Linked DNA regions of Elephas maximus indicus. The protein of the gene in region 2 interacts with the protein of the main gene of each other region in a biochemical or structural test. Links are inferred from orthologs where the notes say so. Each region holds a gene or a part of one and is shown on either strand. Other genes may lie near its edges. The genes, in order: SKAP1 and FYB1.

Region 1 (11,668 bases), on a different chromosome or scaffold from region 2:
TGTCTATTATTGTGTTTTTTAATTTTCTTCAATGAACATTATTACTTTTATAATCAGAAAAAATTAACATAAAAATAGAAACAAAAGCATAATCATATTTCACCTTTCAGAACTAAATTGACTAGTAACCTCACCTATCTAGAAGATGCCTCACTATAAAAATTTAACCAAAATAGACCCTGAGCTGCCAAAATACACATCACAAAGTCCATGCGTAAGGGCTTGGGTACTTTGTCTATCAAGAGAGCCCCTCATACCTTCCTTTACACATATCTTAATTCCAACAAACTTGGTTATCTAGTGTTCCTGTAGTATTAGGGACACAGGCTCACTGACAACAGTGCAAACTGAGAGCCCTCGGCCTAACAGCAGGAAATATGACAAAAATAAAAAATAGACATAGACACTTCAAAAGCAATCCAGGGGTAATACGACAGAAACATCTCAGTATTATCTCTGTAAAGCACAGTAGCAGATATTCACTATAACAGCTCTGAATTAAAACATGTTCAAAGGAGGTCCATTTGAATACAGGCTGATGGGCTGAAGAAGTTAGGAAAGTTCCTAATGCCTTTTAGAGGAAAAAAATTTGATCACAAATGTATAAAATAAAGAGAGTGCTTAAGGAGAATATCCTCAGCTATCCAGAGCAACTCACTCTAGTGAGTTCCACATAGTTGAAGTTTTACTATATTGAAAGGACTCTACGGTCGGCTGAGACAACCAATACAAATCTGGAGAACGATCTGGAAGGAAATGATTAATGACTATTTCTTTCCAAGGAAGTTTAAATAGTAAGTAAACAGAGGCATATCTGAATCAGTGTTAACACAGCTACTGGGTTGTGGATATTTTTTGGCTTAAATCCATATTCTAAGCAGGATTTAGGTATCGTGCAGGTAGTTTGGACCTATCAGCTATCAGGGTAAAGTCAGCAGGCCCCACTTCATCATAATCAACAAACTGTGAACCAAAAAAAAAAAAAAATTATTCCACCTCCTTTGTACTTGCCTCTTTTGCTTCTGCCTTCAAAAAGGGGGCTAGAAAGACAAGGAAGAAACTGATTACGTTTATATCTGTGGAACAAAGATTATGCAAACTGCCAGCGCTCCGCGCTCCTGTTGTTTTTCAGTGTTATCACAAAACAAAACAAAAAGATAACTATTGCATCTGCAGCCCAATGATTTGACAACAGACCTGAATATTTCCTCCTCTTTCAATAAGGCAGAAGACGCCTTTCATTTTATTTATCTATAAGGTACTTATTTGCTGATATGGGACTAATTACTATTTCTGTGAGAGCCTGACAAAGTCTATCTGAGGAACCTGTTTCCTGAGTTACTCTAGAAGCCTCTCATTGCTTTGACATTTGCCAAAATTCCAAGGAACAATTTCTTTATTTTAATTCCCCACCCTCCATACTCCTAGGGCTAATAAGAGAAAAACATAATCACAACCATGGTTAGCAGCTCTTCAGCACCCTTGCCTCTCTGACCTTCTATTTGTCTTTCCTTCTTTTTCTTTTAAATAACCTTACAGGGTTTTTTTTTCCACGATTACAAAAGTAATGTATACTCACTGTCACAGTTCAAGCAACACAAAGATACATAAAATAAAAATTAATAATCTCCTCTTTAACACTTTCTCACTCCCCTCCCAAGGAAACCAATGTTAACAGCTTGGTGTATAATTTTCCTACTTCTTCCTCCACTTACACAAACATATATACTTGGTGATTTTTTGGTTTTGTTTGTTTTCAAACAAAAATAGGGTATTATATATACTAATATGCATCTTGCTTTTTTCAGTCTTAAAAACATGCCATGGACATTTTCGGAGTTCATATATACAGATGTATCATATCCTTTTTAATGGCTGCAAAGTATTCTGTAATATGGATGTCCCTTAATTCATTCAACTATCCCCTCATTCTTTCCCAACTCAAGGACATTTAAGATGGATCTTTGTGCACGTACCTTATGCACTTTAATTTCAGTGACATGGATTCCTAGAGATGGGGTTTCTCAAATTAAACATTTTCCAATGTTTAAAATTTTATCGCTACAAAAAATTAATTTTAAACCTTCAGAATTTCTGTTCCCTTCTTCACTATGCAAAAGTGTGGTATAAACCTTTCACAATGCTTTGCATATTTTATTTTTAAAAGCAGACATTATGTCAAAAAACACCCCTGTCATTTATGCCCATGTGGTTATAAATAAATAAATGCTTAAGTTATGGCTGTGATGGCCAGCATTAAATCACTGTGCAAAGGCTTATGCCCTGGTTTATGAAAGTAGTAATTCATCGTGGAAACTCCACCCCACGGCCACGTGGCAGCAGTAAAGCTGCTCTTACATCCTGTGACTCCCTTCCATTGTGTGACTGTAGAGAGATCGGGACCTACATATTTTCTAATTGTCAAGGGTTAACCTTAAATAGAAGGGGAGATGAGTAAACAGCAATAGATATAAATTGATGGCCATTTTGGGTTTCTAATATCCACAAATTATTTGTAACACAATGAGTAATTCTGCTGGTCTACACTAGAGACTGTTTTCCATACAAAATTAAACCTACAGCCAATAAGTTGGTATTACTAAATGAATCTTGAAAACCGTCTTCAAATATTTTCCAGAGGATCACTGGCTGGATCCTACTTTACATTTTTTTCCCTCTACCTGAGATTCAGACTCTAATTGCAAAGTTAAAAAAAAAAAAAAAAACCTTAAAGAAATACAATGCTCTTTAAAATTTAACCTCAGACTCCTCCTTGTATCCTAAAGACCTGAATACCAACAGAGATTGTTAAGACACAGCAAGTTTGATACAGAAGTATGTGACATGCAATTAATCTCCATTCATCGCCTGCTCTGCTTGTCAGCAAACAAAGGTTCTACTTTAGAAGGAGATCTGAAGACTTCAATTAAAAACAGTCAGCTAACAAGAATATAATCTAAGTTAAAGGAAGGTGGCAGGTGCAGAAATGAGTTGTTTACCAAAGTGTCAGTTTTGAACAATACAGGACTGCGTATCAAAAATGCTGAAGGAGTTTCACCGCAAGCTTCTGAAAATAAAAAGGAATTTTCTACCAAGGCTACACACAAAACTGAAGTATAGTTTAACAAGCTTGTAAGATAGGTTTCATCAAATGACAGACACCAAAAAAGGGATCACTTTATATCTTTAAATGCAAGAGCAGAATTAAACTTCTCGCCACAGTTTCTTCTACCCTGGAAACCAAAGACACTTACAGCCTCTTGTCACAAGCCTAGTATTGAACCAAGAGCCAACTCAACACTAGAGGAAAAGGCTGGATTGCTTCTTCTTAGAAACCCAGATAACTCTCTTTTACCTTGCAAATAGTTTTCTATTCCTAAACTTTAGCCTCACTCAGGTCATAATTAAAATGGATTCTGGAAACCTCACCTCAGAAGAAATATCTAGTTGACGGTTTTCACATAGACGAAATCCAGAGCGGAAACGGCGCTACAAGCAGAGACCAAAAGAACTTGCCAAATATTTGATTAGGAGGCATTTATATCAAAATAACAAAGTAATGGAGAGGTAAAACCAATTAAATTGAGAGAAACCGAAAAACTACTGCTTGCCAAGAGCATGACCTGCCCAAAGAAGGCCATCTGTTACGTATGTGCCAAAATGTCACTTAGATGCCAAAAAGCTTAATTCTAAGTGGTTTCCTCCTGAGACCCTATTTAACTGCAGACTCCAAATCTCTGTCTTTCCTAGAAGGTCAGCTACAGGAAAACAAGTAAAACTTCCTTTCACCAGGAAAAGTGTGACCTGAGCAGATGATACTGCCCATTAAGGAAAAGTCTCTTTAGAGCGTTAGAAGTACGTGTTGAGTGTTAGTATGGCCTCAACCTTCTAAAAAGACTGCTTAGACACTATAGTTTCAAAGTAAACATAGCACAATGGGACAACTCTAGCTAGACTTGGGTTCAGCATTGAGACCCCCTAGAAATCTGCAGGCTGATAAAGTGAGGCCTGGCGTTTCAGCACTGACAAAAAAACTAAGATGAACCACCAGGCCTCGACCAACAAAGGCTCACCCTGGGAGTCCTTCACAGAACCTCAGGGGCCTCTAAGCAGGAAGGTGAGGATCTTCTGTGAAAGGTGATGGAAGTGGGCAGGCGGGGGGTGGTGATGAAAAGGGAGAAAGCCTGCGGATGTAGGGCGTGGTCCTAAGGGGGAAATGACAGGTAAGGGGCCAACAACCTGGCCTGGAGGAGTTTAGAAGTTGGGGAGGTTATGTGTAGTAAAGACGCCTTGAGGAAAAAGAAAATGTGGAATTGGAGAGAGAGAAAGGGACCCTGAAGTGAGTGGATGAAAACCTAGTTTTGAAGATTCTAGAAGCCTTGAGTGAAGGAGCTAAAGAGAAAGCCTGGCCTTGGGAGCCCCTGGTGTCTCCTTTCCTCCCTTCAGCTCAGCACTTGAGGGACTTCCCGGGGGGTGGAGGGAGGGAGCTGGGGGCTGGGCCAGGGCGTTACCTTCCAGGAGCCAAAAGACCTCCTCAGGGAGAGTGACGGTGGCCTGCATTTGGCGGGGACGGTAGGAAGGCCGGCGTGTGAGACAGGACAGGGGCGTGAAGGCCTGTTCCAAAGACCGGCGGGCTGGAAGGTGAGGGGAGACCGCCGCGGAGGCACCTGTACCTCTGCCGTCGTCGCCCGCCGCAGCAGCCGGGCCGAGCCGCAGGGCGGGGCCGTGATCCCGGGGCGCGCTCAGGAAGTGGCGCGCGCGGCGGGCCGGGGGGCGCCCCCCGTGGAGCTCGCGGCCGGGGGCGCAGCCCGGAGGTGGGGGCGTGGCGTGCCCGCGCGGGGGGCGCGCGGCACCGTCACCGGGGCTCTGAGGTCCGCTGGTGGCGAGGATGGACGGGCGGGAGGGCCGCACCGTGGAGGCCGACAGGTTTCCCCACAGGCCGGTTGCCAAAACGAGGGACTTCACAAGACTCAAAGGAACCAAGTCTCTTTGAGACTTTCCGACCTAAGCACTGAACAGTTGGCCTAAAGGCTTGGACGCCACAGAGATGCCTGAAAGAGGGTGTGAACAGGCGGAACCCGAGAAAGAGGTTAGTCCAAGCCAAGAAGCGCCACTCAATTCCTGATCCCGTCCACACCGTCGTTGCTCAGAAAACTAAGGCAGAACGTTCTCTATCTCAGGTAAACCTGGATGTTTAAAGGGAATGATTTTAAGTCCCGGTAAATTATATGAAGCCACCAACATTTGGGAGAGTTGGAGCGGAAGCAGCAGCAATGGACTCAGGAAGACAAAGCGTCCCCCTCTAAGGTTGAAAGGATATGGAGAAAGGAAGGGGTATTGACTTAGTTATCTAGTGCTGCTGTAACAGAAATACCACAAGTGGATGGCTTTAACAAAGAGAAGTTTACTCTCTCAGAGCCCAGTAGGCTAGAAGTCTGAATTCAGGGCTCTGGCTCTAGGGAAAGGTTTTCTGTCTCTGTCAGCTGTGGAGGAAGGTCCTTGTGATACATCAGTCTTCCCTTGGTCTGGGAGCGTCTTAGCACAGGAACTTCAGGTCCAAAGGACAGGCTCTGCTCCCAGCACTGCTTTCTTGGTGGTATGAGGTCCCCATGTCTCTACTGGATAATCTCTTTTATATTGCAAAAGACATTGGCTTAAGACCCTATCTAGTCTTGTAGATCTCATCAATATAACTGACACTAATAATCCATCTTATTAACATCATATTGATAGGGTTTACAGCACATAGGAAAATCTCATCAAATGACAAAATGGACAATCAGACAATACTGAAAATCATGGCCTAACCAAGTTGACACATACTTTGGGGGGACACAATTCAATCCACAACAGGTATCTGGGTAGGGAAGCTGACAGAGAGGCGTACAGAGCCCTTTCCCTCTAAGAGCTGACAAACAGGAGAATGAACAGAGGCTAGGCCAAGATCATAGGGGAGAGTTTCTCTCCCCCTTACTCGAAGTACATAGGCATCAGTATCCTGGTTGTGATACCATGCTGTATTACAAGATGTTACCATTGGGGGGCTCTGGGTAAAGGGTGAACAGGATCTCTGTATTATTTCTTACAAATGCGTGTGAATCTACAGTTACCTCACAATAAAGAGTTTACTTTTAAAAAAACTACAGTAGGCCAAGTGCTGTGAGAAAGGTTTAAAATGCTGTGGGAGGGAGATGGGTATAAGAAAAGGAGGGAAGTGTCTGTGTGTTTAGTGGTGCATGTAGCATTTGAAATAGGCTCTGAAAAACACGCCAGACGTTGAAGGGTCAGAAGCGCTTTCCAAGTGGAAGGACCAGAATAAACAGATGGAAAAGCCCTCTACTACTTAAGGAACAACTACCAAAAACCCAATGCCGTGGAGTCGCTTACTAGTAGCCCTCTTTTACTGGATGGCGTAGGGATACTATGGTGTCAAAATAAATTGAATCTATTGTGAAAGGCCTTGAATGATTTTTAATTCAATCAAATGGGCATTGGGGAGCCATTGACAATTTTTGAGGTAGAAGGTGACCTAATCAGAGTTCTGTGGTAGCATATGACCTCACATATCTCACTTCACCTCTACCGTTTTCCTTCTTTGTAAGATGGAGTTTTCTATTCTCAGACTCAACCCACAGACTATGTGGGAAGGATTGGAAGTGGTAAGAGAGAGGACATCGGGAAGATGAGTGAAGTGGTTTTTACGGTGGCATCAGAGGGAAATAATGGTGAACTAAAGCAAGAAGGGGAAGAACCCTGGTGGTGCAGTGGTTAAGGTGTTCAGCTGCTTATTGAAAGCTTGGTGGTTTGAGCCCACCAGCCGCTCCATAGAAGAAAGCTTCCATAAAGATTACAGCCTTAGAAAACCTATGGAGCAGTTCTACTCTGTCCGATAGGGTCACGATGGTAATGTGTTCTTTTTAAAGCAGGGAGGTGGTGACAGAAACAGCCAGAAGAAACGGTGGTAGCAGTGCCTACTTTTCTGGCCTAGTTTCCCCTCTAGAGATACAGCCTCAAGGTTGGAGGCCTGATCCTTGAGGGGGTGCAGTGACTTTGAGCCATCTTTACACTTTCGCTTCCTGTGATTTGAAGAGGAATGGTGCCTTGGTTTCAGAGTCACATGACCCACCCACAACAAGTTGTCGGGTGGGGATAGAAGGCTGGCTGGAGTCTCTAGGGAATCTGGCTCCTGCTGGTCCTCCTTCGTGCCCTGGGAAGGTGTAGTAATGGGCAAGCTGCCCCCTCTAGGCCCCTGAGAAACTACCAGGTAGCCCCCAGGCAGTTTCGCCAACCTCATTGCCTATCCTTCTATAAAATTGTAGCTGTTCTTGAATCATTTTTTCGTACTTTTACCATGTGTTAAAAAGCAAAGGAGGATATATGGGATCTCTCTGTACTATCATCACAATTTTTTTGTAAATCTAAAACTGTGTTAAAAAATAATTTATTAAAAAAAAAAAAACAGCAAAAGAAACAAAAACCAAACCGACTGCTGTTGAGTCAATTCTGACTCATAGTGACCCTACACCAAAAAAAACCCGTTGCTGTCAAGTGAGTTCCTTTCATAACAGCCCTATATGGACCCTACAGGACAGAGTAGAACTAACTGCCCCATAGAGTTCCCAAGGAGCACCTGCTAGATTCAAACTGCCAACCTTTTTTTTTAGCAGCTGTAGCACTTAACCACTACGCCACCAGGGTTTCCAGTGACCCTGTAGGACAGAGTAAAACTGCTCCATAGTGTTTCCAAGGCTATAATCTTTACAGGGAAACCCTGGTAGCATAATGGTTAAGTGCTATGGCTGCTTACCAGAGAGGTCAGCAGTTCGAATCCACCCAGCGCTCCTTGGAAACTCTATGGGGCAGGTCTACTCTGTCCTGTAGGGTTGCCATGAGTCAGAGTTGACTTGATGGCAACGGGTTTGGCTTTTTTGGTTTTAATCTCTACAGAAGCACACTGCCACATCTTTCTCTCTCAGAGCAGCTGGTCGTTTCAAATCACTGGCCTTTCTGGTCAGCCACCAAGTGCTTTAACCACTGTGCCACCATGGTATGGTTCCTTTAAGGAAACAAAACCCCTCCTATATGGCACCTCAGCACTTTGCCTTGCCTCCCCTCTCAGGAGTGAAAGAAAAATTCAACAACCCCCCTTCTTCAAAGATATTGTGTCACCTGCTAATATAGGCTACAAGCTAATGAGTTTTTTGATAAGGAGCAATAAACCCAGGTAATTGCACATCCTCAAAGGCCTCACTGCCTGTCAGAGCTTACTTATACCAAGGGAAAGAGCAGAAACTCACTGCATAGGTATTCTACATCCATTCCTCCCCACAGGAATCTCTGGGTTTTAGAGAGGTAGGGGTAGAGAGAGGCACAGGGTTGGATAGCATGTGGTGGCTGACTGGCAGATTCCAGTACGGTATTGTCATGTTGCATCAAGGTTCCTCATTGCAGACAGAAACCTGCCTCCACACATGAGCACAGCCCCTTCTTAATCATCTGAGGACCCTAGTTCAGCAGTCAGCCTCACTCCTAATGACATTCTGTTAAATGGACAAATTCCTTTGAAACCTTGTCCTTCTTTGAAATCCAATTTCGAAGGAAGCCAAATCTGATTGGGGGTAGCCATGGAAACCACATCAAGGAGTCTTAGAGGAGGTGGAGAGAGGCAAGGCAAACCATCATAGTCAAGAGTCCTTTACTGCTCTGTCAGAAATATCAAAGGGATCCGAAGAGGTTGGCAGCAGATGAGTCCCTGCCCAGGTCCTGTTCTGTGTGGCTGGGTACCACGTGGCTGTCATGGAAGTAAGCAGCCAGCTGTCTCTGCACACAGGCGGGGGGAATGGAGCAGAATACACAAATCCCAGGTCTGTCTCCTCCCTCTTTCTCCCCTCCCCCCCAACCCCAATTCCAGCAAGATCTTAGGTGCCCCCCCCTTAAAGGCAAACAACAAAAGAATGACAAGGTTAAAGTGCAAGGCCCTCACTGATAAGAGGTCCTTTGGAGCAGAGGCTAAGAAATTAATCTGAAATTCCTTGTAATTAGATAAGATAAGGGTATCTAAAGAGATGCAGAGCAGCCAAGAATGGAGTCCAGCAGCACAACATGCAGAAAATATACCCTCTTGTCACTGGAGCCCCTCACACACTGTCAGCAGACAGAAAATAGGGCCCCTGCTGGCCTCTGGGCTGCTGGGGGAGGCTGTCTATATGTCCTCATGCCAGGTGGAAATTCACTAAATATGCATCCATGGGGTGTCCAGAGGGCTCAATCAGGAAGAAACAAAAGCATCTGGCACCCAGAATGGCATGGAGTGGGAACAAATGCAAGCAAAGCAGGTGCCGGCTGGCACTGTTCCACCCTGGGTAGAATGGGTCTGGAGAGGAGACTTCAGAGGGCAGGCTCTTGGGCTTTGTTCCGAGTTGGTTATTGCTCCCGGGACACCGGGTCATGACACGCGGCGGAGCTGATGTCTGCCCTGTGGATGTGTGGCCGCTGCATCTCAGCCTCTCGGTCCCAACCCCATCAGCCGGGTTTATTGACTCTTTTATTGACAATGCTGGGGCCTAATGAGGATAAGAGCTGCACACTTCATTAAGGGCTGTGGAAGAAGAGATGATTCGTCCTGTCGATGCCAAGAGCCAGGCTCACTGTGTGCTTTGCAGGGCCCCAGAAACCAAACCCCATGCCACCACTAAGGCATGAAATGCTAACTTGGGCCCATCACTTTGGTGGTTTTAAAATGCAGGGTTTTCACAGCTTGCCAGAGCCTCCTCTTACTAATTAGCTAATCTTTCAACTTAGGAGAGTTAGCTAATTAACACAACACACACACACAAATGCACTTCTGATGGTGTCCGCTTCTAGCTCACACTCCTAGATTCTCTGCACTAATACGTACAACAAAATAAGCAGGTTCTTTTTTTTTTCCTATCATATCAGGGACCTTTCCCATAAACAGGTTCTCAATGACACAGAGCCTTGGAACAGAACAAGGAATGATTAAAACTCAAAAAAATCTTCCAGGTGATCAAATTCAAGATAACAAACAGACCTACCCAGCACTCTGCCCAGGGCCTCCCAGCTCACCAGGGAACTGTGCCGGCATTGGAATCCAGGTCTCCAGTGCTGGCCCAAAGCTCCTGTAGAACTCAGTAGCTGAGATGGATAATGACAGCCTAGGGATCCTGAGTGGATCTGTGAAGGAATCATTGTTAGTCCTCCCCCATGTAACATTTCTTTCTTTGTTTTTTATCTTTCTTTCACATTATTTCCCCTATATTCCCTGATTGCCCCCACCCTCTTTTTTTGTATCTCCTTTGCCCTTCTCTTAGACCACATTACGTATCCCCTATGGACACTGCTGAGCCTTTTGGAGGCCCTAAGGACCAAGAGGTTGCTGACTCTGACATTCTCTGTCTTTGATTGGTTCTCACGGGAATTTGAGTTGAGGGGTGGGGGCAGGGACTCAGAGTATGTTAGCTGCAGCCAGGTGATGCCTTTGCCTCCTGCTCTCTGAGACGTGGAGGCAGTTTACCTGTTTAATCTGCCTGGGGAGGCAAGAAGGGCTTAGGCCAATTTTGTAGGCTAGATATTTGCAGACATGATCAGTTTTGAAAGCTGTATAAAAGGGGCAACCATTTCTTTGCGGGGGGGGGGATGTTGTTGAGTGTCCTGGAGCTGATTCCAACTCTTAGTGACACCATGTGACTGCAGAACTGCCCCTACAGGGTTTTCTTGGCTGTACTCATTTAGAAAGCAGATTGCCAGATCTTTCTCCCACAGAGGCAGACCTGCAAGGTGGGTTCGAACTGCCAACCTTTTCGGAGCACTTAACCTTTGCACCGTGGTGAGGGGGGGAGATAAGGGGATTAAAAGGAAAAAATAGAGGGATAGGACAGAGTAGAACTGTCCCATAGAGTTTCCAAGGAGTGCCTGGTAGATTCAAATTGCTGACCCTTTGGTTAGCAACTATAGCACTTAACCACTATACCACGAGGGTTTCCGAAAGACAGCAAGTTTTAAAACTATTTTTCTTAGGTAGAATTATACTTCTTTGGTTTCATTTTATCTGTTATTTCAAAAGATAAATATTTAAGTGGCCTCAGCCCTTCTTTTTTGCTACCCTTTCTTCTCCTTTGTTTTACTAAAGGCCTTAGAATTCCGGATGGGGGAATTCGAGGTAAGAGGGGCACTTGTTTAGAATCTGGTAGAAAACCCTGCCTGCACTGCACACGTGCTCTGGAGGAATGCCACCACTAAGAGGAACTGAGATGTAATCTGACCAGATCAACCAATACTCACAAATCCAAAAGGAAACCCTACCTAGAGTCATAGATAAAACCTGCAAGGGTTAATTACTTCAATTCAAGAAAGTGGGTAAAAATACCTTTCCCCTAGTGGACATCCAAGGAGCCCTGGTGACACAGCGGTTAAAGCATTTGGCTGCTAACCAAAAGGTCAGCAGTTCGAGCCCACCAGGGGAAAGATGTGGCAGTCTGCTTCCATAAAGATTTACAGCTTTGGGAACCCTATGGAGCAGTTCTACTCTTGTCCTATAGGGTTGCTATGACTTGTAATGGACTTGACAGCAATGGGTTTGGTTTTAGAATGAACGTTATTTCTGTAATGACCTTTTAATGTTGTGTGCTGTTAAGTCCATTCCACACAT
Region 2 (11,492 bases):
ATCTAAGATGCATCAATTGGTCTCAACCCACCTGGATCAAAGAAGAATGAAGAACAACGAGGACACAAGGTAATTACGAGCCCAAGAGACAGAAAGGGCCACATGAGCCAGAGACTACATCAGCCTGAGACCAGAAGAACTAGAAGGTGCCTGGCTACAACTGATGACTACCCTGACAGGGAACACAACAGAGAACCCCTGAGTGAGCAGGAGAGCAGTGGAATGCAGACCCCAAATTCTTGTAAAAAGCCCAGACTTAATGGTCTCACTGAGGCTAGAAGGACCCTGGTGGTCATGGCCCCCAAACCTTCTGTTGGCCCAGGACAGAAACCATCCCAAAGCCAACTCTTCAGATAGGGATTGAACTGGACAATTGGTTGGAGAGGACTGCTGGTGAGAAGTGAGCTTCTTGGATCAGGTGGACACTTGAGACTACCTGTTTGCAGGGGAGATGAGAGGGCAGAGGGGATTAGAAGCTGGCAAAATGGACACGAAAATAGAGAGAGTAGAGGGAGGGAGCGGGTTGTCTCAGGGGGAGAACAATTGGGAGTATGTAGTAAGGCGTATATAATTTTTTGTGTGAGAGGCTGACTTGATTTGTAAACTTTCACTTAAAGCACAATAAAAATTAAAAAAAAAAAAAGATTTTGTAACTATTTCTAACCATCTAACCATCGATGGCAGTGAGTATGTTAATTTCAGGGCCTCCAAAGAGTTCAGTCTCATTCAACCCCTGCTGAAAATTTGTTTCTGCTCCCGATGTACTGAATCAGAATCTACATTTTAACACAATTCCCAGGTGATTCTTATGTACATATGACCTGGGGAGTGTGTTGAAATGATGAGAGTCACCTGGGAACCTTGTTAAAATGTAGATTCTGATTCAGGATATCTAGGGTGGAAATGCAAATTCTCAGCATAGACTCAAACTGGAAAGAACAGTTTGGACACCCTGGTTAATGTTAAGGAGCCCTAGTGGCCGAATGGGTAAGTGCTAGGCTGCTAACTGAAAGGTCTGCAGTTCAAACCCACTATTGGCTCTGCAGGAGAAAAGACCTGGCAATCTACTCCTGTAGAGTTTACAGCCTAGGAAACCCTACAGGACAGTTCTGCTGTGTCCTATAGGGCCACTGTGAGTTGAAGTCAACCCTTCAGCACACAACAACAACAATATTAATTTTAGAGCCCCTGGATAGTGGAAACAGTTAATACGCTTGGCTGCCAACTGGAAGTTTGGAGGTTCAAGTCCATCCAGACAGTGACATCACCAGGGGGTGCAGGGGGTGTAGGGAGTATGGACCACACCAGGTGACACTGTCAGAGGGGTGACACCAAAAGTACTGTCTATAAAATTTTTGTGCAGTGTTTTAGAAGAAATTTAACATTTTTTATAAAAATATCCCTGTAGTAAGTTACAAAACTAAAAACATTTTTCATAAGCTCAGCTTATATGTATCAATATACCTACAAGGCTAAAACTCTAGGCTAATGTACTTTTTGAAACTTTCAATGTACTCTGGTCAGAGCTGTCGTTATTACTCAATTACAAGGAAACTTCAAATCACGTGGTTTCCTCAGATTACACAGTATAAGCACACGCTGTTGTTTTCGTTGCTGCAGGTGTTTTTATAGTTTCTGATTTCCTCAAATTTTCTGGTGTTTTAGCTACAATATTGAGGTATATATTGTTTGTGAAACTGTATCGATAACTTTTTTTGAGAATGAAGCCGTATTAAAAGAAAAAAGGTGAAAAGTCAAAAAAGGGCTTCTGGTGTCATTAACAATGTTGTAAATAATGTATTTCAACGTAGAAAGATTTTATAAAACAATTCTCTCGTTAGTATTCACATAATCTAAGAAATATTACATTTATGCTATTTACAACTTTATCACATATTATTCTATGGTTAAAACTGATAATAAACATTGCTAAGGATTCCATATCATCTGGTGCAGGACAGGTCCATCAGGGGGTGACACCAACCTGAGTGACGCCACTGCACCCATAGATACCTCAGAAGAAAGCCCAGGAGATCTACTTCTGAAAAATTAGCCATTGAAAACCCTATAGAATACACCTCTACTCTGTCACACATGGAGTCACCATGAGTCAGAATACACTCGATGGCAACTAGTTTTTGTTCTATTTATGTTAATTTTAACCACACTACCTGTTAAAGTCCTGAGAGATGGAATACTGCCAATGTTTTTGGGTCATGCTAAGTAGCGTTTCTTTAATTTTTATCACTGCTCTCTCTCTATTTGTAAATTGGCTCAGAAAAATGAAATTAGCCATGCAGTGCCAATAGGCCTCACAGCCTCCACCTAGCTGTTTCACCTTCAGTGAGTATACAGGGACCAACATCAAAAACCAAACCCGCTGCCGGCGAGTCGATTCCTACTCATAGAGACCCTACAGGACAGAGTAGAACTGCCCCGTAGGATTTCCAAGGAGGCCTGGTGGATTTGAACTGCCAACACTTTGGTTAGCAGTCAGAGCTCTTAACCACTGCACCACCAGGGCTCCTCCTACACAGAAAGACTCGTTTTAATCTTGCCCAGACAAAAACAGCTTTCTAGGATGTAATCTGTGTCAAGAGAATGTATGCCTAAATATGCTATTTAGAGAAGCATAAGCACTTTTATATTCTCTGAGCTACTTCTCCCTTCCACTTGCGGGAATAATTGCAGTGCCCTGGTTGGGAAGATATAACTTTATCTCTTTTTTAGATATTGACTGTCACCTTTGCTGTATTTCCTGTTTTATCTTCTTGCTCAGGAGCTTATGTACTTAACTGACTTCACAGGAAATACACTCACGTGTGTGATACGTGAAAGATATACTCAAGAGGAAAGTCATTATGCTCCAAAAACTAAAACTAAAAATTTACTGTTAGATTATTAGTTGGTTCGGGGTAAATGAGCTTCAACCCTTACCTGCTTTTTCTTAGTCAAAATTCTTAAATAGATGTTTTTGAAAAACTGCTGAATTTATTTCAATAACAACTAAAAATTATCTTAACCTTCATTTAGAAATAATCACAAATTAAATGGAATTCAAATTGAAATTTAAACATGTCTTACCCAGAAACGTTTCCAGTTGTTTAGCAAAAAATTGCTAGATTTCTCTTTGTAGTGTAATTTTTTGCCTAACTTACTGGCGGAGAGAGAAAACCACAGAATGATTCAGCATAAGCAATTGTTATGTGGTGCATGATGAAACTACGCTGATAAACTTAGCACTAGTCAGTGGCAGAGTGTCAGGACCTGCTTCTACCTGCAAAGCTTGCCTGGTGCTCTGTTCACCACTTGCCTCTTTCCTGTACTTTGGAATCAACTGGTGAGCTTTCAAATGTCTGGGTCTCAAACCCAGAGATTCTGATTTAATGGTCAGGGGTTGTTATGGATTAAATTGTGCTCCCCAAAACTACGTGTCAACTTGGTTAAGCCATGATTCCCAGTATTGTGTGGCTGTCCTCCATTTTGTGATTGATGTAATTTTCCTATGTGTTGTAAACCCTAATCTCTGCCTATGGCTAATGAGGCAAGATTGGGTTATGTTAAAGACAATTAAGGTGGAATGTAACACCTTTACTCAGGTCACAGCCCTGAGTCAATGTAAAGGGAGTTTCCCTGGGGTGTGGCCTGTATCACCTTTTATCTTACAAGAGATAAAAGGAAAGAGAAGTGAGCAGAGAATGGGGGACCTCATACCACCAAGAAAGCAGTGCCAGGAGCAAAGTTCGTCCTTTGGACCAGGGGTTCCTGTTCAGAGAAGCTCCTAGTCCAGGGGAAGATTGATAACAAGGACCTTCCTCCAGAGCCAACAGAGATAAAAAGGCTTCCCCTGGTATTGGTGCCCTGAATTTGAACTCTTAGCCTCCTACACTGTGAGAGAATAAACTTCTGTTTGTTGACTCCATCCACTTGTGGTATGTCTGTTTTAGCAGCGCTAGGGTCGCTATGAGTCGTAATCACCTCGATGGCACTGGGTTAGATGACTAAGACAGGTGAAGCATAGGAATTTAGATTTTTTAAAGCTTTTTTCTGGGATGATTTTAATTTACAGCCAAAGTTGAGAACCACTGACTTAGACCTCACACTGTACCTGCACTGTGATAATCTTCGTTCCAACAGAATAAGAAACTTTCCATTTAAGATGAGGAATGCTTCCATTTCAAGGCCTTCTAAGGTCTTCTTCTGGCAAATGTGTTGTATCTAAAAGCATGCCTAGTTCTCATACCTCGGTCTCGCCTTCATGTTTCCTCCCACTGATTCAACAAGGCTGGTGGTGCAGTGGTTAAGAGCTCAGCTGCTAACCAATAGGTCGGCAGTTCAAATCCACTAGCTGCTTCTTGAAAACTCAGTGGAGCAGTTCTATTCTGTCCTATAAGGTTGCCATGAGTTGGAATCGACTCAACAGCAATGGGTTTATATGGGACGTTTATTATGTGCCAGAATTGTGCAATTTCAGATTCCTGAGTACCCACCTAGCTTCTGTTAGCACCCCTAAGACCCACCTCTCTTATAATCTGAAGGTTTGTGGACAATTCCAGGGACTTTCCTATCTCTGGCGCTTGGCCCCTGTCCTGGCTTTCTGCCTTGTTGAAGCGATGATGCTATCCGTATTTCTAATCACATCTTGATTTTGAAAAAAAATTTAATTTTAAGGAATAAATAGTATGCAACCTCTTTTTTAAGAAGGGATTTTGTATGGTCATGGTAGTAATTAGAATTAGCACAGCATCAAGCATAGACCCTATAGTACTTAAAACAAGATCTAGAAAGTTGCAGCCCAAAATTAAGTCAACAGTTGTCTTTCCTTTGAAATGAGAAATAAAGATGATCTTCTGCTCTTGAAACTGCTTTATTATCAGGCTATAAGTTCAAAATACAGGAGATAAATTCATGTACCAAAATGTGTTCGAAGGGGTAATGTGGTGTAGGAATATTTAGGATGAAATATGCCTTTCACTCAAGCATATCTAGTTCAATATGGTGAGAGACTGAAGCATCTGATGCTAAAAAAGTTAGCACATGAAGCTGGACTGACATTTTTTAATGAAGGGAATGGCATCCTATGATAAGCTTATGAATATTTTGACCATTTAAATATTGGCAAGATGGGTTTAAATACATTTGGAATTGTCACTGACTAAAATTATCATGTTGCTTTTGTTCTTTTTGAGATTATAACTATGTTTAGAAACATGCATTACATATTTTGAATAGAAAACTAAAAAAACTGGGCAAAGTATAAAACAAAAATAAACATGTAACAATACCTTCATCCAAGTCAACCACTGTTAGCATTTGGGTGTGGGTCTTTAAACAAATAAAAATAAATAAATATATATATATATACACATACACAAATACAGATTTTATATAAAACAGACTAACAATGTGCACAGAATTTAATAATTTAATATGTGGGCACTTCTTAAAAAATTCTATGTCAATCTTTCGGACTTCAAAGCTTTACCTATACCTGCTCTCATATATTGAAGTATAATAACTAGACAGACCTGGCCAGTTATACAAATTCTCTAAGATCAGGGATAGCATGCAAATACAGCCTTACATATCAGTGTGTGGAAGCTGGACAGACCACACAGTTCAAAAAAGGAAGTACACTCTGCGGGACTAACTTGCACATTCATTGTCCAAGTTACAGCATCTTCTGGGCCACTGTATGCCAGGCACATCAACTCTTCCCAAGAGAAATGGTAAGTAATAGATTTTATGACTCTTCCTGGTCTCCTGACAAACTTAACTAATATTCTGTAACTAAAGCAGAGAGGGTTAAGGGTGCTTTAAGGCCAGTTGCTCCAAGCTTTTAGGATTCTTGCGTCTTTGCTTTTCCGTGTACTAACAAAGCTGCTGAGTCTTTATTACACGAGTTGAAAGACAAGAGACTGTGGCTTCAGGAGTTCCTTTTTCTAATTCTAGCCTGCAAAAGAAAGGAAGAGAGCTATGCCTTACAGAAAGAAAAGTTGCATTCTTTGTCTCTGCCTCTTAAGTTAGCTGGGTGCCAAAACCAACAATACAGTCAAGTTTGGTATTATGAGCACTTTGGATTCCAGAAGACGACCTCAGTGGTATATGCTGGGCAATATTGCTGATGATGAGCACCATTTTGGTAACAGTGAATATTAGAGGAGTTCTTTTGCTTTTTTTTTTTTTTTAATGTATGTTATAGCTTTAATTAAAAGAAGGGAAACAAAGCCCAAACAGTCCAAACCTTAGGGACAGGCTGTGTTCCCAAAGTTAATTGAAAGTCATAGTTTGGAGCATACTTAAAATACTGACTGAGTTCCCGGCTGTATCATGAAAACAAAGTATTATAGCTGAACTATAGCATTAATATTCTTCTACACAGTTCCTGATTATTTCTCTGGGAAAATTGGCTCCTAAAATTATATTTATAGCTATACTTGTATTTATATGTATGGTGTTGATTCTGCTCCCAGGGTGGAGAAGGGAGCCAATTCTATGTCCCACACTCTCTTTCAATGCTCCAGCCCGTAGAAGAGTGGAGATTTGTTATCCCTTCTCTTGTTACAGAGCCCTGGTGGAGCAGTGGTTAAGAGCTCGGCTGCTAACCAAAATGATCAGCATTTGAATCTACCAGCTGCTCCTTGGAAACCCTATGAGGCAGTTCTACTCTGTCCTATAAGGTCTAGAGTCTGAACCGACTCTACGGCAATGGGTCGGTCTCCTGTCACACAGAGGATTACTTCCTTTCAGTATCCACAAGTCAGCAGACAGGGACTGAGACAATGACTCCTACAAGCACGCCACTTTGGGAGTGGGAAGTGTTGCAGATATTTGAATAGGGAGGACGAAGCGTTCACGGGATGTGTTTGTAGTCTGGAAGCTCTCTGAACCAGGCTGGAGAAAGTGGAAGAGGTGAGACGGTGTAACTCTGCCATGAGAGAGGGAGGGGGGAGGAAAAAAGACGGATGGAATCAGAGATGCTGAAGTTGTGTTGTTTTTGGCCGCCATGGAGTTGCCCCAGCTAATTGCAACCCCATGCACACCTGAACAAAATGCTGCCCGTCCTAGTTTTGGATTGGACAGCTGGGATCCATAGGGTTTTCATTAGTAGATCACCAGGCCTTCTTAGTTTGTCTTAGTGCAGAAGCTCCACTGAACCTTTCAGCATTGTAAAGCCAAAAAAAACCCCACTACCATCAAGTAGATTCCAACTCGTAGTGACCGTATAGGACAGAGTAGAACTGCCCCCATAGGGTTTTCAATGTTGTAAATCTTTAGGAAAGCGGGCTGCCACATCTTTTTCTCCTGGAGCCCCCCGGGTGGTTTCGAATCTTTGACTTTCCAGTTAGTGGTGGAGAGCTTTAACCACTGCACCACCAGGGCTCCTTCAGCACCATAGCAACATGTAAACCTCCACCAACAGGTGAGTGGGGGCTCAGCATGAGGTGCATTGTCCAGGAATCAAACCCTGGCGGGAGGCAAGAGTTCTACCACCAAATCGCCACTGCCTCTGCTGAAGCCCCAGGGAGAGAAATGCCTGGTGGTGGAGGAAATGGTAGACCTGATACTATCTGCTGCCCTGCCGGCAGAGGACGGAAGTCACAGGTTGAGGTAAGACTTATAAATCCCCTCTGGTGTTTCCAAACTAGACTTTAGGTCCAGGATTCTCAGAAAACACTTTGACCTTAATTGCTAATATCCTCTTCAAAAACAAATGAGGGCACTGTGGTTTACAGAGAGCTGTTTGGATTTTCTTAAGGGAAACACAATGATAATAACACAGAAAAAAAAGAAAGCTTAACTGGATAGTGCATATTTTATGTAATACATAGGCAATGGTTTCTTAAAAGATTAGTGTTTTCTTATGAGTAACGCCTATTATTTTTCATTCCTTAAACATATAAAACTTTTTTTTTCATATAGATAGGTAAAAATGAAATAATATGTATTTTCTATAGCCCTATCACCTAAGGGATGATCACTGCTAAGCTGAATTTCATCATTTTAAAAACATATTTTATAAATGCAATTTTCTGTAGCTGCTAATATACATTTTATGAACTGCTTTTTAAATTAACATATCTTGAGTAATTTCTGAGTTATAGCATAAATATATGTATACATATATAATCATTTTTAATGACTACATAGTATTCCATAATTTATTTAATCAGTTCCATATAGTTGGACATTTAGATTGTCATAAGTATCCTTTTATATACATTGTCTGATTTTCCATTGATAGAATGGCCGAGAGAATAGTTAGGTGAAAAAATACATATATTAAGACTCTAACACAAGTTATGCTCTGGTTTTTTTTTTTTTTTTTTTATGCTCTGGTTAAACATTTTAAGTTTGCTTACTGGATAGTGGCATAGTACATGAGTTTCTCATTTGCAATTGAGATACGCACATGCCTCTCTTTGTAGCCTGTCAAGGTGACACAAAGGAAGGATTTTCCCCTTAATTTCTTTTTCCCCAACATCATCCCTGACATTCTATGACAGGTTGTGAAAGGCACATAATGTATTAAGAAAAAAAACTTTCTACTTTTTCTCTTCGAAAGACATTACGGCACAGTCCAAAGGTCGTATTCGGGCTTCTTACGTACTAGCTTTGTTTACTAGCCGTGCGTTTTTTTCACAAGTCACATAAACTCTGAGTTTATTCCCTCGTCCAAACATAATGGTAATGATGACGTGGAGTTGGGGGAGGATGACTGGAATGATGATCATAACTTTCACACAGTGTTGTTGTGGAGAATAAACAAGATTGCATCCATAGAACACCTGTTATACGGCAGGCACTTGGCAGATACTGGATGAATGTTGATTTTCTACCTTCCCACCCTAAATACGGCATCTCAGTGGTTAAGAGTTCAGTCACTAACCAAGAGGTCAGCAGTTTGAATCCACTAGCCGGTCCTTGGAAACCCTATGGGGCAGTTCTACTCTGTCTTATATTGTCACTATGAGTTGAAATCAACTCAGCAGCAACGGGTTTGGTTTTGGGTTTTTTACCCTAAATATATAATTTCCTACGGAGGCATAGAAGCTCCCAGTGAACACAGGAGGAGAATGATAATTGCAGTTAATATTTGTGAACCCTGACATACACGTTTATTCTGTTGTTAGGTGCTGTTGAGTCAATTCCAACTCATAACGACCCTATGCAACAGAGTGAAACACTGCCGGGTCATGCACCATCCTCCCAATCGTTACTGTTTGAGACCACTGTTGGAGCCACTGTGTCAAAACATCTTATTGAGGGTCTTCCTCTTTTTGAATGACTTTCTACCGAATATAATGTCCTTTTCCAGGGACTGGCACCACCGTCCTGATAGCATGTCCAAAGCACTTGAGACAAAGTCTCACCATACCTACTTCTAAGGAGAATTCTGGCTGTATTTCCTTCCAAGGCAGATTTGTTCATTCTTCTGGCAGTCCGCAGTATATTCAATATTCTTCACCAACACTGTAATTCAAATTCATCAATTCTTCTTTGGTCTTCCTTATCCATAGTCCAGCTTTTGCATGCAGATGAGGTGATTTAAAATACCATTGCTTGGGTCAGGCACATCAGGATCCTCAAAATGACATCTTTGCTTTTTAACAGTTGAAAGAGGTCTTTTGCAACAGATTTGCCCACTGCAATGCGTCATTTGATTTCTTGTCTCCTTCTTCCATGGGCATCGATTGTGGATCCAAATAAAATTAAATCCTTGACAACTTCAAAGTTTGTTTATCATGATGTTGCTTTTTGGTCCAGTTGTGAAGATTTTTCTTTATGTTGAAGTGTAATCTATACTGAATGCTGTAGTCTTTGATCTTCATCAGTAATGCTTCAAGTCCTTTTCGCTTTGAGCAAGCAAGGTTGTGCCCTTTGTACAACATAGGCTGTTAATGAGTCTTCCTCCGATCTTCCTGTATTTTTCTTCATTTAGTCCAGCTCCTTGGATTATTTCCTCAGCATACAGATTGACTATGCTGTTGGTTTACGAAAAACCAAAATCTTAAGTAGACACGCATTATCTCATTGTTGTTATTAGGTGACGTCGAGTCAGTTCCAACTCACAGCAACCCCATGCACAACACAACAAAACACTGCCCAGTCCTGAGCCATCTTTGCAATTGCTGTTATGCTTGAGCTCATTGTTGCAGCCACTGTGTCAATCCACCTCATTGAGGGTCTTCCTCTTTTCCGCTGACCCTGTATTTTGCCAAACATGATGTCCTTCTCCAGGGACTGATCCCTCCTGGCAACATGTCCAAAGCATGTAAGACACAGTCTCACCATCCTTGCTTCTAAGAAGCGTTCTGGTTGTACTTCTTCCAAGACAGATTTGTTCATTCTTTTGGCAGTCCATGGTATATTCAATATACTTTGCCAATATCACAATTCAAAGGCATCAATTCTTCTTTGTCTTCCTTATTCATTGTTCAGCTTTCATATGCATATGATGCGATTGAAAATACCATGGCTTGGGTTAGGTGCACCTTAGTCTTCAAGGTGATATCTTTGCTTTTCAAAGATTAAATTCTCATTAAATTCCCACAATAATCCTTACAAATAGTTACTACAATTATCCCTATTTTATAACAGAATAAACTGAATCTTGGAAAGGGTTAAGTAACTTGCTCAGTCACACAGCTAGCAAATACTAGGACTGGAATTTGAGCCCAATTCTATCTACTTTCAGAGTTTGAGCTTTTCTACATCATACTGCATTGGAGAAAAGGTAGATGTCGAGGAAGACAAATAGCGGTAAAAGAAAAACTCAGGACTGGCCTTTGGAGGAAACTCTGGTCGTGTAGTGGTTGAGAGCTTCATCTGCTAACCAAAAGGTCAGCAGTTTGAATCCACCAGGCCCTCCTTGGAAACTCTATGAGGCAGTTCTACTCTGTCCTATAGGGTCGCTGTTAGTAGGAATTGAGTCGAAGGCAATGCGTTTGGTTTTGGTTTGGTCTTTAGATGTGCGAGGGGCCTTTTCTCAGGCTGGTGACCATCTTGGTCGCTTTGGGAATCAGCTGTCCTAAGTCTTCTGCTACTTCCACTACCAATTTTCCTACTTTCAGAATGCTTACTTTGTAGAAAAGTTGCAGAAGCCACTGGCATGGGAGATTGAAGGGGTTGCTGGCTTTATTGTTTCCCACCCCAGGGTTCTGAGTTGTTGTATGCCATTGAGTCACTGCCCCATAGGGTTATCCAAAGAACAGCTAGTAGATACAAACTGCCAACCTTTTGGTTAGCAGCCTGAGCTCTTAGGGTTCTAAACCAAACCAAAACTAAACCCAGTGCCGTCAAGTCGATTCCGACCCATAGCGACCCTATAGGACAGGGTAGAACTGCCCCATAGAGTTTCCAAGGAGTGCTTGGTGGATTCGAACTGCTGTCCCTTTGGTTAGCAGCCACAGCACTTAACCACTGCGCCACCAGGGTTTCCTAGGTTTCTAAGAGAGAGATTAAATACGCCCTGAACAACACACACGGGG

Evidence for each region.
Region 1: the proteins of FYB1 (region 2) and SKAP1 form a complex in vitro, tested with the Homo sapiens proteins (2 studies listed by BioGRID and IntAct, with this or other methods). The link is inferred for Elephas maximus indicus from reciprocal best matches to the Homo sapiens genes FYB1 and SKAP1.

Annotation. Positions count from the first base shown.
Region 1 is NC_064837.1:45,074,008-45,085,675, reverse strand, and holds the start of SKAP1 (src kinase-associated phosphoprotein 1), read right to left. Parts: upstream 4,728-11,668; 5' UTR 4,561-4,727; coding exon 4,512-4,560; intron 1-4,511. UniProt on the Homo sapiens protein: Positively regulates T-cell receptor signaling by enhancing the MAP kinase pathway. Required for optimal conjugation between T-cells and antigen-presenting cells by promoting the clustering of integrin ITGAL on the surface of T-cells.
Region 2 is NC_064820.1:45,056,297-45,067,788, reverse strand, and holds the start of FYB1 (FYN-binding protein 1), read left to right. Parts: upstream 1-5,666; 5' UTR 5,667-5,695; coding exon 5,696-5,729; intron 5,730-6,729; exon of another isoform or gene 6,730-6,912; intron 6,913-7,423; coding exon 7,424-7,611; intron 7,612-11,492. UniProt on the Homo sapiens protein: Acts as an adapter protein of the FYN and LCP2 signaling cascades in T-cells. May play a role in linking T-cell signaling to remodeling of the actin cytoskeleton. Modulates the expression of IL2. Involved in platelet activation.